2 linked regions of the Lytechinus pictus genome follow. The protein of the gene in region 2 purifies or fractionates together with the protein of the main gene of each other region. This does not show direct contact. Links are inferred from orthologs where the notes say so. Each region holds a gene or a part of one and is shown on either strand. Other genes may lie near its edges. The genes, in order: condensin complex subunit 2-like and condensin complex subunit 1-like.

Region 1 (9,615 bases), on a different chromosome or scaffold from region 2:
ATAAAATAAATTACCTCAGAATTGTACAAATTCAGAACTTTCTTTTTCTTTTACATTGTCTTTAGACACGAATACAGATCTTTCTAGATTAATTTAGCAAATGGGCTATAACACTAAATAGTAAACACGCAAAGCTCACGTCAACCAAGTATCAAACATTCAAACTTGGATTAATTCATGGAGGTTCTACCTCCATGATTTAATCTGAATAGGTCTGTATTAGGTCCATGAATCAACTCAGATATCGTTCAAGCATCAAAATCAATCTATCATCACAACACTAAAATCATAAACAATCACTTCGAAGAAACAATGCGAAGGTCAAACCAGGGAAGTGTTATACTTCCCTGGTATATGCTAGCTACCGTGTATATATATACACACACACACATACACACACACACAAACGCAAAAAAGCCGCGAAATAGCTCCAGAAATTGTAGCCCTGGAAAGTGGAAAAAGAGCCCTGGAAAATGAAAAAGTAGCCCTGGAAAATTTTTAAGTTTCTCCAAAAAGAGCCCTGGAAAGAAAAAAAGTAATGTTTTGGTTGTTTCAGAGTTATGATGGTAATTCAACAGATACCCCCAATTTGGCCAAAGTTCATTGACCCTAAATGACCTTTGACCTTGGTCATGTGACGTGAAACTCATGCAGGATGTTCAGTGATACTTGATTAACCTTATGTATAAGTTTCATGAACTAGGTCCATATATTTTCTAAGTTATGACATTTCAAAAACTTAACCTTAGGTTAAGATTTTGATGTTGATTCCCCCAACATGGTCTAAGTTCATTGACCCTAAATGACCTTTGACCTTGGTCATGTGACATTAAACTCAGGCAGGATGTTCAGTAATACTTGATTAACCTTACGGCCAAGTTTCATGAACTAGGTCCATATACTTTCTAAGTTATGCTGTCATTTCAAAAACTTAACCTCAGGTTAAGATTTGGTGTTGACGCCGCCGCCGCCGCCGTCGGAAAAGCGGCGCCTATAGTCTCACTCTGCTATGCAGGTGAGACAAAAAACTAGCATATCAATGATGTGGAGCTCATCCGGCATCTCGCAACGAAATTTAAAGGAGAATGAAACTCTTGGAGCAAGTTAGCTTTTGTGAAAGCAGAAAAATCAAAGAATAAGATCAACAAAAGTTTGAGTAAAATAGGACTAGCAATAGAAGAGTTATGAGCATTTGAACGTCGAGATCACTAAATGCTATGGAGATCCTCCCATTGACAATGCGACCAAGATCTATGATGGCACAGATGAACAACTCTCCCCTTTTGGACACTGAAAATATACCCCAAAACATCTCTTTTTGCTCATTCTAATCATATGACAAACGATTCATCAATGATATAATGTTGTGAAACCTCTGTACTTGTCCTCTCATAAAGAGAACACCTCACCTTGTGATAGACTCTATAAAAATGAGAATATAAGTGAAATAAGTACTAAAGTAATGAGGGAGTTGTACGTGTGTGACATCACAGATCTTGGTCGTATTGCCAATGGGAGGATCTACATGGCATTAGTGATCTCAATATTCAAATGCTCATAACTTTCTTATTATTCATTCAATCTTGCTCAAACTTTCAACAATATGTTTCTTTGATTTTTCTCTTTGATATGGATTCAGCTGGTTTCAAGGGTTTTATTCTCCTTTAACACAATTTTAATTTCAGCCCAGTTGACACTGTAGTGAATTACATTGGTGACATAAATTGAGGATATAGAATTGAAATTGATGAAGAAATGACATAGAAGCATTTTTTTGTGATCTATGAATAAATTTCATATAAATTAAGCATAAATAATTTTCTAGTCAAAATTTCTTAACTCTGTGTAGAACCTTGGTGAACCTCATGTAGCTCTCAGATGGAACAAAAATGAAGAAGTGGAATTTTCTGTGATTTATGAATACATTTTGCATAAATTGGTATGAATAATTTTCTACTGAAAATTTCAAAATTCTAAAAATCAAAATCGGTCGATAATTAAAGAAGCATTTTATTAGAATTTTTTGAAAAATACGCATAAATTAGCATATTTTATGAGTTTCAAAATTCTGTGTAGAAGTTTTAAATCCCCCACCTAATGCTATCATATAAAGCAAACATAATTGAAATCAGACTTTAAATGATGAACAAGAAGCGTTTTGAAATTCAGTCAACAAATAAAGAAGAGGCATTTTCTGTGATTTATGAATTTTGCATAAATTAGCATAAATAATTTTCTACTCCAAATTTAAAAATTCTGTGAAGAAGTTTAGTGAACCTCATGAAGCTCTACCAGATGGAAGAAAAAAATCAAAATCGGTCAAAAAATAAAGAAGAAGAAGCATTTTATGTGAATTTTAAAAAATATGCATGAGTTAATTTCGCATAAATTAGCATAATTTTCTACTCCAAATTTAAAAATTCTGTGTAGAAGTTTAGTGAACCTCATGAAGCTCTACCAGATGGAAGCAAAAAAATCAAAATCGGTCAAAAAATAAAGAAGCATTTTTTGTGAATTTTGAAAAATGCATATAAATTAGCATATTTAATGAGTTTTATATAAAGCAAACAGAATTGAAATGGCGAAGGAGCATTTTGAAATTGTGGACGGACGACAGACGACACGCCACAAAATTGCAAAAACATGAAAAAAAGGCAAAAATCTCAGATTATCTCGGTCATTTCTCTCTCTAGTCTAAGTCGATCTAACTTAGAAAGTCAAAAAGGGGCCTAAGCTTTCGATCCTAGCAGAATCTTCGTCGGAGGCAAAATGACCATTGATCTAACTTAGACTTAGCTTAGGCCTAGTCTAATTTACATTTTTTTTACAACTCTTGTTTGAGTGAAAAATTTACTCCAAACATCCAGTCTTGATCGTTTCAAGAAATTTTTAGATTGTTTCCTCTGCCTCTGTTCTGCACTGCCGGTGTAAAAAATATTTCCTGCAACGGTAAAGGTTGCAGAATTCCAAGTCAACCCATCAGGATTTTTGACTGCAATGATGCAATCATGCCTTCATGATTCATGGACATGGGCCATGGCAATTGAATTATGTTAAACTTATGTACCGTAAGGGCACTAGTATTCAACCCGTTTGGAGAGTTTCCTCAAATATATAGAAATATAGAATTTACCTGAATTTCAGACCCGTCTTATTTCCAAGAGCAAATGCTGGTTATTCTTTTTCCGTTATTTTTTTCTTCAACCAGTTGACTGTGTGCGCGGGCGATCGAATTATACGGCGACGGATTTTGGTACTAGTATTCAACCCGTCGGTACTAGTATTCAACCTAGCGATGAAAGATGGCCCTGTCTCTCAATCTGCCCTTGTCCCATCCGACTATGGACTAGACCATTTGAGATGAGACCAAACAGGGAATTAATCAAAGCCAGAGTCTTACATAGATCTAGATCTAATTTAGCAATCTAAACCCTTTTGAGATTTGCTATCAATCCTCACTAGGTTGAATACTAGTACCATTCAGTGCAAAAGGCCATCGCCGCATAATTCGACCCTCCGCGCATACAGTCGACAGATTGACAAAGAAAATATCGACAACAGATTACCCTGGAAATAACAAAGGTGTGAAATTAAGATAAATTCCCCATTTCTAAATATTTTGGGGAATATGTCAAAATCTTTGAATTATGCCGGGTTGAATACTAGTACCCATACGGTATTTTGTCATTTTTATTTAATTTTGTTTTTTTTAGCACGCCTCAGGCCTCAATTGTTTAAAAATTGCTCTCAAACAACATTAAAATAAAAAACTTCATAATTATTTGTGATATAATATATGATGCATGTATGTCAAGAAAACCCAGAGCATGATGATTTTAATTTATGTTTTTTTTTGTCCGAACAGTCTTCGTATTAAATAACATTAACAGTCACAGAATTTAATAGGTGGGACTGATGTAAGATTCCAGTAGGCCTAGATCTAGAAGAAACTGCAACTTGTTACGTTTACTATTCTACGCCTATAATAACAATTTCGGGCGCACCTTCTAACCAATTACAAATTTAGGCCTAGTACATAGCTAAAAAAAACTCACCTTAATAAAATGTTCAATAGACTTATAAGGACAAATACTTGCGGCTTGTTTACAAACAACTTTTGCGAATATTGAAAATGGCGCTGAAGACATTTGAGTAGGTGCGCATGCGCAGCCGATAATCTTGGCTCCATGCGCTCTCTCGCGCCGCTCGCTCGATCGCTTGCTGTAGCTAGCTAGCTCGCGCTCGTTCGAATCGCCCCCCCCCCCCCCGGGCGGGGAAGCAGGTGAAGGGGGGGGGGGGGCTTTATTAAGAATTCTTGGCAGTGAGCGGTCGACAATCATTCGCAGGCTTATCTAGAGTAAAATTGCGCTGATTAAAAATACACTTGTCCGAGTCCTAATTATTGACCCCCGGCCCCGCTCGCACTTTCAGTGCCTAGGCCCTATTTGAAATAAAATTCATTTTTTAAATCCCATTTCATACCCATATTTTGAAAAAATGGGGCAGGAGCAAGGAAGTCCAGGCCTAATTCGGAAAAAGGGAAAGATACGGGGAAGGTTGAGGGAAAAGGGAAGGAAAGGAAATTAGAAGAAAAAACGGGAGAAAACACATTGCAGTAAATGGAAAATAAAGACTGACAGGAAAGACAAATTATGACTTGGATTGGGGGCGAAAAAATTTTTTGTATAGGTCTTTCCACTATGAAATAACCATTTAGCTATTAAAGCTCCACCAAAATTTATTTCAGGACATGGCGGATGACAGGGGAGCTAGAGGGGGAGGGGGGGGGGGGTGATAGATGAACCGCCAATTTAAAGGCTGGGGTCCGGTTTCTAAAATACTCCTTTTTTGTTTGTCAAAGTTTTTGTAATATAGTTATAGGCCTATTTTTCTTCTTTTCTGGCACTTAACGATGAAAAAAAAATTATCCTTGAATATGGAAATTGTACAACATAATGCTTAATATAAATAATTAACGCGCCTATAGTTCACAGATTTTTTATCTATTCATTTATTTGACCATCGCCAATCACAATATCTTGATCATCCCTCCACTGACTATACCCTCAATAAAGTATATTTTTAAAACCATTAAGATGTTTTGCCTCAATTTATTGAATAAAGGACGGTATAGTTAGTAGTTAAAGTTACGTTGCAAGACATTAAAGACAGGCGCGCCGGAACACTTTAAGATTTGAGGGGGCAAAATCTTGAAGGTCGGAGCACAATTTTTGTGACGTTGTGAGATCCTCGGCGAGAAAGCAAAGCGATCGAGCGGGTGGAGGGCACGAGAAGGGGATACAAAAGGCAAATAGGAGGGACGGAACATTATTTTTCATTCACATTTCCCCCAATTGACTGCTAAAAGCTGATTTTTTTTTGTGTTTGAAGGCCTTTTTTTTTTGGGGGGGGGGCAGTCCTATGTATATAAAGACTGTAGGCCCGTATTTCCAAGTCAGGTTTAATTTAGACCAAGGTCCAACTCTACCGATGTGCTAAAATTATGGGAGTCAAAAATTATCTTTATATTATGAATTTCTTATGTTTAATATTTTGTTTCATTTTGCATTCATTACAAAGGAAAATAATTCCGTTGCCATTCTCAGGCAATTGTGAACAATTGGGGTGTCGAATGAGTAAATATATATTTATATTAAACCACAACTTTAAACCAGGGATTGATTTAAACTCGAGTTCAAAATACGGGCCATGGTGTTTTAACTACACCTTATAGCCTTATGAAGAATGTGAGCGCGTGATCTCAAATAATAATAATAATAAATAATAAAAGGGGGCACGTGCCCCCTGTGCCCCCCTGGATCCGCGCCTGACTACTACTACTACTACTATACTAATAATAATAATAATAATTATAATAATGATAATGCGGCGCCGCGAGTTGAATTTTTGGTTAATAGATCGAGACCTTGAGACCTAAAAACAAAGAAATTCTAAGCACATATAAGCAATGTAAAACCAAGAGAAGTATCCTACTAATCAAACCTTGCGATAGCAAACATAGCGCTTCATTTATGAAGAACACCATCCACATATACTCGGGCGCGAAGTGCAAGTTGTAGATTTTTGATATTCAGACATGTAAATTAACATTTTAAAGACTATTTTTAGGACTGAACATATTTATCTAATTAAATCATTAAAGGGATGGTCCGGCCGGGCTGAAAATATTTATATCTGAATAAATGGAGTAAAATTCACAAAGCAAAATGCTAAAAATTTTATCAAAATCGGATAACAATTATAACGATTTAAGTTATTGAATTTTAAAATTTATCACTATTTTGTGAAAACAGTTATATGATGGGCTTATGATGTCACATTCCTTTTTATTTTGTAATTACATGAAATCATAAATGTTTCATTTTTTCATACATGTGTAAATGATGTGTCTGCATTATGATGAAATAAGTTGCGGCAATAAATAACTAATGCACTTAATCAGTTGTCAATCCAATTGTTTGAGTTCTTGGTAGAAAAATTTGAATAAATCTAATTTTATATAATAAAATACAAAAGAACAAGTGGGGGATATGACATCATCAGCCCACCTAATGAATATTTATAAAGACATGCCTAGAATAGTTTCACCGGAATAATTCAAATATTTAAAATTCAATAACTTTGTTATTTGTTATCCGATTTTGATCAAATTTTCAGCATTCTGCTGAAGGTGCCGTGGCCGAGTGGTCTAAGGCGCCTGGCTATACATAAAAAAAGTCCCGGTTTCGATCCCCGGCCGCGGCACATCGATGCCTGTGAGCAAGGCATTTAATGTGCAATGCTCTCTTATCCTGCTTTCAAATAAATGGAAATGCTATAGGCATTATTGGTAACTTGGTGTGCACTTGTTTAAAAAAAAAGAAAAATTCTGCTCTGTGAATTTTACTCTTTTTATTGAGATAGAAATATCTCCAGCCTGGAAAAACTGAAGGCGAGAGTGCGCGAAGCGGGAGTCAGTTGAAATGTATTTTATATTTAGACATAAAATCGGTACATTTTAAGCACTTTTAGTAATCATGAAAATGACGTATAATATCTCAAATTAAAGCGTGTGGAGATATATTTTGACTTGAAAAGCGAAAAAATATCAGAAGCCACTGCAGGGCCCATGGGCCAGCATGATCGGGAACCGCTTTCACTACTCATTCAGTGGTCTGAAACGGCTAGCTGCCATCAAAACACTAATTTTACAAAAATAAGTAAACTTGCTAATGCATGTTGTCGCCCCATTAAAAGAATTTCTTTTACTTATGAAATTGACAGTTTAAGGCAACAATTAAAGGTGCCTTCATTGTTTAATTTGTCTTTGAATAATGACCTTCTTTTAACTTTTGAGAGTGAAAAGGATTATGGGGGCAATAACGTATTTTTTTTCCAATTCATTTTTCTATTAGTGATACCATAGATTTGGCAAAATTGCGACGTGACATGTGCGAGCCGACGTGATTGCCACGGATTCTGTACTTTTGAGTTTTGTAGATAAATTCATGAATTGGTGCTTTGTCAGACAAAATGCAACACGACGACGTAAGTTTTTTTTTAATAAAATTCAATGAAACGCTTTTAAATGTAACTGGAATAGTCTACTTATAACTTGACGATGCACAATATTAGATGTATTTATATTTCCGCGCAGCGACTGGCCTGGGCTGGGCCGGGTGTCGGATTTAATCATCAGTCCCAGGCATTTAATTTTCTGTTAGCACCTGCAGTTTTAGACAGCTGGCAGCCGTCTGTTTCGAGGAGTTTTTAAACATTTTTTTATTTTTTTTATTTCTCCTCGTACACAGACGGCTCGCTAGCGTGCAGCCACCATTAGGGGACTTGCAATGCAAAATCCCCCCGTCGGGGCTCTTCAATTTTTGTCTTTAATGAATAAAATTTTTGAAAATTAACGCGACCAAAATGCAAATTAATATTCCCTCTTGGCATTAATTGCCAAAAAACAGAGAAAAATCAAGTTAAAAGTAGGGACAACGGTATATTCGGTATTTGCTCTATCAAAATCCCTACATACCATTGCGAGTGCGTCGAGCGCGTCCGTTGATCCTACGAAGCCCCAATAATGCATCCCTCTTGACTGATAATTTCACCCTAAATTGAGTTATTTCAGGTAGCTATGATATATTTGGCATTAAAAGGATCGGTAATTATTTGTCAGTAATTATTTAGTATTCTATATTTTCGAATGGCTTACCTCTACTTGTTCTTTGAATGGGAAAATATCGTACTTTGTCCTTGTATTCCACATGAACTGCAGAGTTTGTATGTGTATAAAGTCAATGGGGAAATTCAAAGTTTTGCACACGCGACCCGTCACCATGACGTCACCAGGATTGCGTGTGAGCGAGCTAAGTTTGATTTGGGGGCGGCGCCCTCCAAAATTTGACCAATAAAAATTCTGCATTTGCTGCATCTTTTGGGATTTTCCCTAAATTCATGTCTCAGGGACCGTCTTGGAAGTGCGTGCTGAGCTGTATAATATTTTTGAAGGACCCACCCTATTCTACTTAAAGATATTCAATTAAAACATCTTGGGGCCCGTTTTGGGACTTTTCATTCTTAAAAAAGATGGTTTTGAGACGAAGTCTTATATCTAGATTAATTTAAGAAAAAAAAATTAGTGAATTTATTTTTAAATTTTAAAATGCAAAGCAAAAACCTCCATATGACGTGTACGTGACGTAATTATCGTCATGAAGTTGAAGATCGCGCGAAGTGGTGGGAGGGGCCTATCGCGAACGTAGACCATGTATTAGTCTTGATTCAGGCAATTTTTATGATTTGTAAAGTTCGTTGAAACTCTGTAACGTTGTGAACGGATATCATCCAAATAAAATAAATGAAAATAATTTTAAAATGTGAAAGGATGAAGGCTAGCACAATCTTTCTCTTAGGAACATTCAGCCCCCCCCCCCCTCCTCAGTTACAAATGTTAATCACGTGTAATCGCCGTGATACAAGGAGAGATGTTTTGGAAGGTCATGTGCGTGTGAGATATTGCACATGGCATAATGGCGGCATATACGTGTGATACAGGGAATTATGTACAAGGATGTTTACACTTGTGTGTGAGAAGGTCTGTGACCGAGATGGTGGCATGGGAATAATGGAGTTAGAGTGGATTAAAAAACTACGTGTGTAAAGCATGGACCTGTACGTTGCAACTGTACATTCGCTCTGGGGGCTAAATCCCGGGGCTAAATTAAAATAGGGGAATCCCCGGTGTGTATAGCTTGATTAGTAATCAATTGTTAAGGCCTACTCAAGTATATTTTGTTTATTAAAAAATCTAAGAAATCAATGTTTTAATTTGCAATGTTTACGCACAATATATGTATATATGCCCTCTCACAATCACACACATTTAAGATTTTATTTTTAACAGTAACATACTGATTGTTGTAAAATTAGGATACAAAAATTACTCTACGAGATGTCAGTTATTTTTTTATTTTCTAATGTATAGGCGGCCGGAGGGGGGGTGGGTTCCCTCGGTCCTGCGCCCTTGCTCTTAGCAAAAATAAATAAATGGATATTAAAAAAAAAAATCCTAATTGGAGAAAATTTTCCCCAAAACGTACGTATCTCCTA
Region 2 (9,819 bases):
ATAGGTGTGTCTTACAGAGATAAAATGAAGATAGAATTGTTCTCAGAATACCAATTCGGAGAGATTTTATCTCACTGATTTTAACGGAGATAAAATATTTTATTTTATCTGAGATAAAATGGATCTCAGAATAATGTTGTAAATCGGATCAAAAATCAGACCGAAAATCGGATCGGCAGTTAAGCTTCTAAAATCGAAATCGAATCGAAAATCGAATCGGCGATGTTTAAAAACAAAGGAATAATGACATCAAAATGTTGTTCGCGGTCGCGCGCATCTTCCTGACAAAGTCACAAAGACGAATGCATTGGAATGGAAGTCGCCAACATGCGCGATCGTTTGGAACATGTTTTAAAGCCAGGGGTTTTGAGGTGTTATTGCTTTAAAATAAACCGAGTGATTTTTATTAGAAAGATAAACAAAAGACGCATCTTCCGAGCAAAGGCGCAAAGGAAAATAAAATGAAAATATTTCTCATAGATCACAGGTTAATGAACGATCGGCGAGACATCTTTTAGAAGTATTTTTAGGTGCTAGCGATTTAGAATTATTGGAATGATCTCTTACGACGCATCATCTTAAAGTCGCAAGTGCAATTAAAATGAAGTAGAAGACGCAAGCACGCACGATGATTTGAAATATGTTATTAAAATGTTTTGGGTAGCTAGCGTTTTCAAATCAATTTGAAGTTCACGGCGGGGTCCGCTATCACCACGAGGTTGAAGAGAAGATGTCTATCATCAAAAAAGGGGGTAAGAGAGTAGCGCAGTGAGCTCCGTCGGTAATACGACCTTTCAAAGTTCAAGGCGGCATCCGCTATCACCACGAGATTAAAAATAAAATGTATATCATCATAAACGATGTAAGAGAGTAACGCAATAAGCTCCGTCAATAGTACAGTCTTTAAAAGTTTATGGCGGGGTCCGCTATCACCACGAGGTTGAAGAGAAGATTTATATCATTATAAAGGGGGTAAGAGAATAGCGCAGCGAGCTCCGTCGGTAATACGACCTTTCAAAGTTCACGGCGGCATCCGCTATCACCACGAGGTTGAAAATAAAATGTATATCATCATAAACAATGTAAGAGAGTAACGCAGTGAGCTCCGTCGGTAATACGACCTTTCAAAGTTCACGGCGGCATCCGCTATCACCACGAGGTTGAAAATAAAATGTATATCATCATAAACGATGTAAGAGAGTAACGCAATAAGCTCCGTCAATAGTACAGTCTTTAAAAGTTTATGGCGGGGTCCGCTATCACCACGAGGTTGAAAATAAAATGTATATCATCATAAACGGGGTTAGAGAGTAGCGCAGTGAGCTCCGTCGGTAATACGACCTTTCAAAGTTCACGGCGGGGTCCGCTATCACCACGAGGTTGAAAATAAAATGTATATCATCATAAACGATGTAAGAGAGTAACGCAATAAGCTCCGTCAATAGTACAGTCTTTAAAAGTTTATGGCCGGGTCCGCTATCACCACGAGGTTGAAGAGAAGATTTATATCATTATAAACGGGGTTAGAGAGTAGCGCAGTGAGCTCCGTCGGTAATACGACCTTTAAAAGTTCACGGCGGGGTCCGCTATCACCACGAGGTTGAAAATAAAATGTATATCATCATAAACGATGTAAGAGAGTAACGCAATAAGCTCCGTCAATAGTACAGTCTTTAAAAGTTTATGGCGGGGTCCGCTATCACCACGAGGTTGAAAATAAAATGTATATCATCATAAACGGGGTTAGAGAGTAGCGCAGTGAGCTCCGTCGGTAATACGACCTTTCAAAGTTCACGGCGGGGTCCGCTATCACCACGAGGTTGAAAATAAAATGTATATCATCATAAACGATGTAAGAGAGTAACGCAATAAGCTCCGTCAATAGTACAGTCTTTAAAAGTTTATGGCCGGGTCCGCTATCACCACGAGGTTGAAGAGAAGATTTATATCATTATAAACGGGGTTAGAGAGTAGCGCAGTGAGCTCCGTCGGTAATACGACCTTTAAAAGTTCACGGCGGGGTCCGCTATCACCACGAGGTTGAAAATAAAATGTATATCATCATAAACGATGTAAGAGAGTAACGTAATAAGCTCCGTCAATAGTACAGTCTTTAAAAGTTTATGGCGGGGTCCGCTATCACCACGAGGTTGAAGAGAAGATTTATATCATTATAAAGGGGGTAAGAGAGTAGCGCAGTGAGCTCCGTCGGTAATACGACCTTTCAAAGTTCACGGCGGCATCCGCTATCACCATGAGTTGGAAGAGAAGATATTTATCCTCTTAAACATCGCCATAGATAATACCGCGTCTTTCTCCCTGAATAATGCGACCTCCAAATAGCTAGCACCTCAAAAACAATCTTGAAATATGTTCTGAGCGATCACGCACTGTAACCAGATCTACGCCAATTTTTTATTTTCGATTTTTTCCTTCAAGGGGCATGATCGAAGATCGGCAAGTGATTGCCGATTGTGGTGAAATCGAATGGAATCGGTTGCCGATTGCAAAATCGGTTACAAGCTTATCTCAGAATACCACCCCAGCACTATGAGTCCTATGGGATACTTCCAGTCTGTGTAGCAGGACGACTAAAAAGAAATCAGAAAATGTATAAAAACTCCTGCGAAACAGCAGATTTTTAAGTCTAGAACTTTCTACATCGCCAATCAAGCTGGCCTACGTATCCTACATGTATGGTAAGGTCCCCCTGGCCGTGTCTGCGCACACGTGTATCTGCGCGATTCTAAAAGAAGATATGCAACAACCACCATAGCTCGCCACAAACTTTACAATTACAGATGCAATTCATAGAATTTAGAAAGAAAGGTATTCATTAAAAAACCTGACTCAGTGGTGGAAAAAAATGAATTCTTAAGTTTAGCCATTTCCAGAAATTTTCAGCATTTCATGTGACGCCGACAGCCTCAATATGCAGTAGAGGCGCATGGCCAATATTGGAGACTGTCTCCAATGTGGGAGATTATCTCCAATATCAGAGACTTTTGTAAAGAATTTGGGTATCCAATTTCAGACACAGTCTCCAGTTTTGGAGATCAATTTCCTTTGTTTACATTTGCTGCAAAAGGATTACCTTGGCGGCAAATAAAAATGTGATAAGCAGATTCCTCATGAAAAATTACCCCTTTTCACCGTCTACTTTAAAAATTCACCGTCTACTTTTGTTTTGATAAGGATATTTGTTGTCAATCACACACAAAACAAATGGGCTTCTGACCTCAGCGAGACAAAATTTTGGGTGGAAAAAATCATGTTTTTGTTGGTGTTTCTTTTGTCCTTTTGCAAAGCAAGTCTCCAATGTGGGAAATTGTCTCCTCTATTGGAGTCTCCCATATTGCCTTGCGCCTCTAGTCTCTACTGATATGCAGCCTTTCTCATCAAAATCCCTGAGCTGAATCGTGTGTAAAGACTTTATTGTGCACAGACATCATGGGGCACAATTTTTTGTTCAATCTGAAACCAAAAAAAAGTGAATGACTGGCTCGGGCCTCGGCCTGGTTTTAACTTTAAGTTAACTTTTGAAATTTGAGTTTTGTTTCCCATGATAAATCATTAACTTAAGAAAATCTTGTTTTTTTCAAATTTTTATGAGATTTTTTGCACACTTACTCATAAGAATATAAGGAACATTATCAACTAAAAAGTTTTGTGAAGTAAATTGAAATCTATATTAAATCTGAGGTTAAATAATTAGGTGCGCAGACATGGGCCATGGCGGGGCCCACCTTCATACCCCCAACCTTGCCTCGCCGCCTCGCTCGGGGCGCGGCTGGCCTTCGAGGCTGCGTAGCCCTCCCAATCAAGCCAACATTAACTCGGTCAAATTCAAAGCCGGGCTGTAGAAGAAACGATCAGAAATAAAGCTACTTTCCATCAAAACCAGTCATTCACATTTGAAATTAAAGTTTAAGACAGAATACATATGATGAAAAGGTGAACAAAAATACGAACCAACACGAATGAAAACGGCAAAATGTTGTTCCCGTAGGCGAAGGATTCCGCATCAACGGCTTCAAAATCCGCGGAAAAATTGTATTGTAAAAAAATGAACGAGAACTGACCAATCAGAACGCTCGATTTGTGAACTATGGTATCGCACAATCAGCAAAAATTTATTTCGGTAAAAGTCGTTCACAAAACTCGAGAATTACAATGCAAGTAAACAATTACTGTACTATAAAGTTACTTTACAGTACAGTAATTGTTTACTAGCATATACTAGTAGTCAGTTTTGTCACTATACAGTCCGAGCATGGGTGGAATGATTGCAATATATTGACCTGAAATTTCAACATTTTGGGGACACCCAAAACACGGGGGTATATAAATTATAACGTACAATACCATCATTATCATGATTGTTTTTTCGATGGCTAGTATATTTGAGTTTTTTTGTGATATAAATTATCTAATGCAGTTTATATTGATATGCGAGTGAGCGAGCAAATTTTTAGTACTTGGAAGACAGAATGGTGTCCAAAACCCGGGGTCCAAAAACGTCTTTCAAGTGTGCAATAATTATACCACATCAAGAGCTATGTCCTTGTACATAGTATTACCATCTCTATTGGTGACAGTTACCTTGAGCTATTTCAATTATGACAATGGCTACTGTTGTTGTGATCGATATATACTTAATTACAGTAAATAGTAGTTGGAATGAAGTCAGGATGATTGAAAAACGTCTTTCAAGGGAAAATTGCGACGAGCAAACGTGATCGAGTGCCTTAAAAAAATTGCTTCAGTCGTTTTAATTGACAATGTGCAGAGGATATATAGCAGGGGTAATTTTTCAAAAACGAAAGGTAGAATAGATATAAAGTTGTTATATTATAAAAATAATGATCAAACAGTCGAGATTTATTCAATGAAAACTCATTTGCTCACTAGTTAAAATTAGTGAGTTGAGAATATAAAAAAATAGGATCATGATTATCGCGAATATAACGATTATAATGCCTTATGAAATGAATCTCATGGCAACTCATCCGATAAACTTCAAAAAATGCGGAAATGGCAATGATGCAAATGACAACGAAAATATCGCAGAAAGGAAAAATTTTGAATAATATTGAAAATTATATTGGGGGATGATGCAACGTTCAAATTTGGAGCAAAATTCACATTTGACATAGATTGTTGCGTCAATTATCAATTAATGCAATTAAAAGTATCCTATGAAGAACAAATACAATTCTTAGGATGATATGCTGTCGTAACAACATGAAGCCCTAGTGTTTCATTATTATAGTGATCAATATGTCATGCGTGTCTCATCTAACAAAAAACTTGAAATATAGGGTATATTTTGTACAGACTATCCCCGCTTCCACAATGATGTCAGGATATGACCCCCCACCCCTTCAAGTGTATTTAAGAAACGTTTTATTTGGTTTTGGTTTATGCCCGGAGGGCCACTTACATTGATGAGTGCATGGATACCATGCGCGACCAAAAAAAAACACCGTAAAAGAGATGTCTTTTTCAAGATAGGGCACGTTACGTAAGTAACGTAATAAGAGTGTCAAAAACACTAAGGGTATCTATTTTCGCTAGGAAAGCTACGTGTTTAGGGTCGAATTTGCGAGGGTGTAAAAATTTAAGACTAATATGTTTTATAAAGGATGTACTTTTTTGCCAGAAGAGTCAACACTACGTGTTAGTAGAGTACGATTTTGCGCGAGATGTGGGAGATGGGGCTGTACTATAGGGCCTACACAATCAGGTAAAGGTAAAACCGACGACAACAATAAAAATATCGTTGTACTTAATTGGGGGGTCAATTCAGGGAATACTTGCCAAGAGTATTGTTTTGTTTCCAATACTTGTTAAGGGGAGGGTTTCACACGCCAATACGTCTTAAGGGGTGCATTTTCAGAATATGGAAAATACGTGTTTAGGGTGCTTTTCGAGACCCCATGGTCGCGCATGGTACCCACTCGTCAATGGCAGTGGCCCCCGGGGTTTATGATAAAAATTGTAACCATTATATTTAAAAGTCATTTGAATTATTCAATTCATAAATGGATTCATATAACCATACTGCCATGATAGCGGAAAAAACCTTTGCAATAAAATGAGCTAAACATAAGGATTTGTTATCATGATGGCCTAACTCTTGTAAGATGATAAAGAGAAATTTTGCGTTTTTAGAATTCAAAATTAGGCAAATTGAAGCTATTTTTTTTTTTACTGCATTTTAAAGATGAATCCAACAATATAATTAGAAACTATCGTTATACTGTCTTAAAAGGTGTGGGGGCGGGACCGGTATACCACCCCCAGTGCTGGCAGCCCCCTATGGGATTTACGCCCATGCTAATACAGACAGGGATTATGGTCATCATGCAAATACAGGTAGTGCCGGGGAAGGGGAGGGGGCATCTGGCATATGAAAAAAAATGCATGCGTGTGTGAATTTTTTATTTTTGCTTTGTCAAATTTTTCTGGGGGAAATTGTTCAATTTATTTATTTTTCAGCAGATAAACGATATACAATATGTCCAGGAATGAAGAGAAAAACGGTAAGCTTAGAAAAAAAACCTTGTGAATTGTAATTTGTACATGTAAATGCCTAATCAAGTATATATAGGCCAATATATATACACTCACTTTTTTTTTTTCAATATGTTTTTATTAAGGATTTCATTCAAATGAATTACATAAACTGCAGATAAATACAAAAAAAAAATACAAATCTTCATTTCATATCAACAAGGATATGCAAAAAAGTACATATATATTTACCAAGAACTGAAGCAAATAAAGACGGAATGAAACTCCTTAAAATTATACTTTTATATCTGAAAAAAAAAAAAAACTCAACTGAGTCCCCAACCCTCTATGTATCTCAATAATAATTAATGTTAAATGGCTATATAAATGATTTGCAGGAAAACAGAAATCAACCTAAATGTATTATCATTGCATCCCATTTTAAATCAAGCTTCAACATAACTTTACATAATTATACACACACCCACCTTAACACCCTTACACACATGCACATACCACGCATACGTAAACAAACATAATATATACAAATCTGCATAATGAACGTTTAACATTTTGGCGCAATAGGATACAGAAAGAAAAAAAAACCTGCAAATCATATTGATACAAGAGAAGGGGAAATTGAAAAGAACTAGTAAAAAGAAAAAAAAAAACATCAACATTCACACCAGGATTCACACTCGCACCACACTAGACACATCCCACCTGTTCACATTCAAATCCCTTTTCACCTTCAGTTCATCCCATTTCTGCAAATGTAAACTTAACTTGCCTGACTTCGTTGCCAGGCGTCTTTCTTCTTCTATACAACCCGTTATATATTTGTGTATTTTAATAAATGACGGTACCCGGCCTTCAGCTCTTGAATCAAAAATTGCATATTTAATAAAAAGAATAACAGAATTGACACATTTAATTCTACAAGAATTTCCAGGCACACACACACCCTCGCACACCCACACACACATATAATATATACAGTGCGTCCCCAAAAAACTATACACTTTTGAAATGACTGCCAAATAAAAAATATATCACTTTGGGGGAAAAGACTTATATTACATAGAAGCCAATAAAGTCAACTTTCAAATGACACCAAAAAGTTGGAAAACTATTCATGCTTGAGCGAGCACTGCCCACTGAAACAAAGAGTATGAAAATTAGGCTGGGCCGGCATTAGCCTTCCGATTTCTTTCAGGTTTTTTTGTTTGGTACTTGCAAAGTTGAGGGTTTTGTGATGAATTAATGATCAGTTGTGATCAGTTTGTTCTTTGACAAATTTCATGCGTTATTAAATTGAAATTTAATGCATGAGTGATCATGAATTGCAATTTTTAGTACAGCATTTTGACTTTATTATGTGGATCTCAGCAATGTGTTCATGAGAGTCAGGAGAATATGGGGTAAGATAGGACTCAAATAGATGAAGTACGTTGATGGGATAAAGGTCAACAGAACATTTAGCAACCCCTCCCCCACTACTCTCCTCCTGAGAGACTAAGCTCGGCTAGGCTGGGCATGGATTAGCCTTACAATTCTTTGAGTGGTTAGTCCTTTGGAACTGGCAAAGCCAAGGGTGTTATGCTAAATTAATGAGTGAGATAAGTTTTGGTTTCTTATAGGCAAATTTCATGAGTTACTTAGTGTAGCATATTCATCTTGTGGACCTCAGCAGTGTGTTCGTGAGAGTCAGAGTAATGTGATGGTACTTGTTACAAGTTAGGGGGCGAGATATTGTAAGACTTGGTTAAAGGGGCATTCCTCTTCTTTCTGTCCTTTTACAAATTAAAAGTCATATACCCTCCCCCTCCACCCCCATTTCCCAGCCCCCCTCTCTCTGTTTCACTTCCTGGATTGTAGCCTATTCAAAACTTAACTGCCAAATGTCCGGTGGCTGATGGTCAGTTTTTTTTTTCATAGAATGATTGCCAAGAAATTTATCGATTATGATGATTTATGAAACAGTTTATTGAAAAAATCTGAATGTTTTATTGATCACATTGCACTTTGAATGAGCTAATTTACTGATAAATTGTTGATTTAATGATTGATAGGAAAAGGTTGATGCCCAAATTCAGAATTCATCATTAAATCAACATTCTGCTGTGGAATTCACGCGTACATGACAATAGCAATCAGTCTCCCAACAGGAGGGGAGGGGGCTAAATGTTCTGTTGATCCTTATTCCATCAACCTACTTCTCCCACTTAAGTCCTTTCTCACCCCCTATTCTCCCGACTCCCATGAACACATTGCTGGGATCCACATGATAAAATTGAAATGCTGCCCAAAAAGTGCAATTTGCGTTCACTCATACATTAAAGTTCAATTTAATAATTTATGAAATTTGCTTAAACAACTTAAACTGGTCACGGTTGATCATTAATTTATCACAACTCCCTTAACTTTGCAAGTTCCAAAAGGATTTGCCTCTCAAAAATTGACATAAATTGGAACGCTAATTCCGGCCCAGCCTAATTTCCATACCCTTTGTTTCAGTGGGCAGTGCTCGCTCAAGCATGAATAGTTTTCCAACTTTTTGGTATCATTTAAAAGTTGCCTTTATTGGTTTTCATATATGTGAGAGTTTTTCCCCAAAGTGCTACATTTTTTATTTGGCAGCCATTTCAAAAATGTATAGTTTTTTTTTGACGCACTGTATATGTACAGTATAATATACATTGCCATGCATGATTTTCATTGAAGTCACATTTATTTGGCATACTATTTTTCTTGAATCGATCAAAAATAAAAATATAGTGCCATTGACGATTGTTTAAGTTTTCACTGACAATAATAAAAACGTTTCAAAACAACCAAAAAAACAAACAATTCCTGTTTATGATGTAAATAAATTCACACTTGAAGTCTGTGCCGTATTGACTGTAAGCATGCCAAACTATATCAGGGGAGGCGCCATGGTATTTTCATAGGGGGAAATGATTTGAAAATGATATTTAAAAGATTGAATAGGTTATTTAAGAGTTCCATGACTCGGACGTCTGTTGTTGATAGCCTATTTCGCCCTCATTCCCTTTTCTTCCTGTCTTTTTTTTTCTTGTTTTTATCCTATTTCATTATTATTTTTTTACACGACTTGAAGAGGGGAGGGGGGGGAACACATCACTTCATGCGCCCTTCTATGAGTAAAATATTTTCAGTCGTCGTGAACCATCAACAAAGTTGGAATTCAGTGAATTTATGTTACACAACATATTGGGTAGCTAGTCGCAGATGAAATTACAAAATAAAAACCATGTAAGTATATAAATACATTGTATAACA

What was found.
Region 1: the proteins of condensin complex subunit 1-like (region 2) and condensin complex subunit 2-like purify together in Drosophila melanogaster (affinity purification with western blotting; 5 studies listed by BioGRID, with this or other methods). This does not show direct contact. The link is inferred for Lytechinus pictus from reciprocal best matches to the Drosophila melanogaster genes Cap-D2 and barr.

What each region holds. Positions count from the first base shown.
Region 1 is NC_087256.1:27,810,971-27,820,585, forward strand, and holds the start of condensin complex subunit 2-like, read right to left. Parts: upstream 4,163-9,615; 5' UTR 4,056-4,162; intron 1-4,055.
Region 2 is NC_087258.1:13,122,768-13,132,586, forward strand, and holds the start of condensin complex subunit 1-like, read right to left. Parts: upstream 4,080-9,819; 5' UTR 3,973-4,079; intron 1-3,972.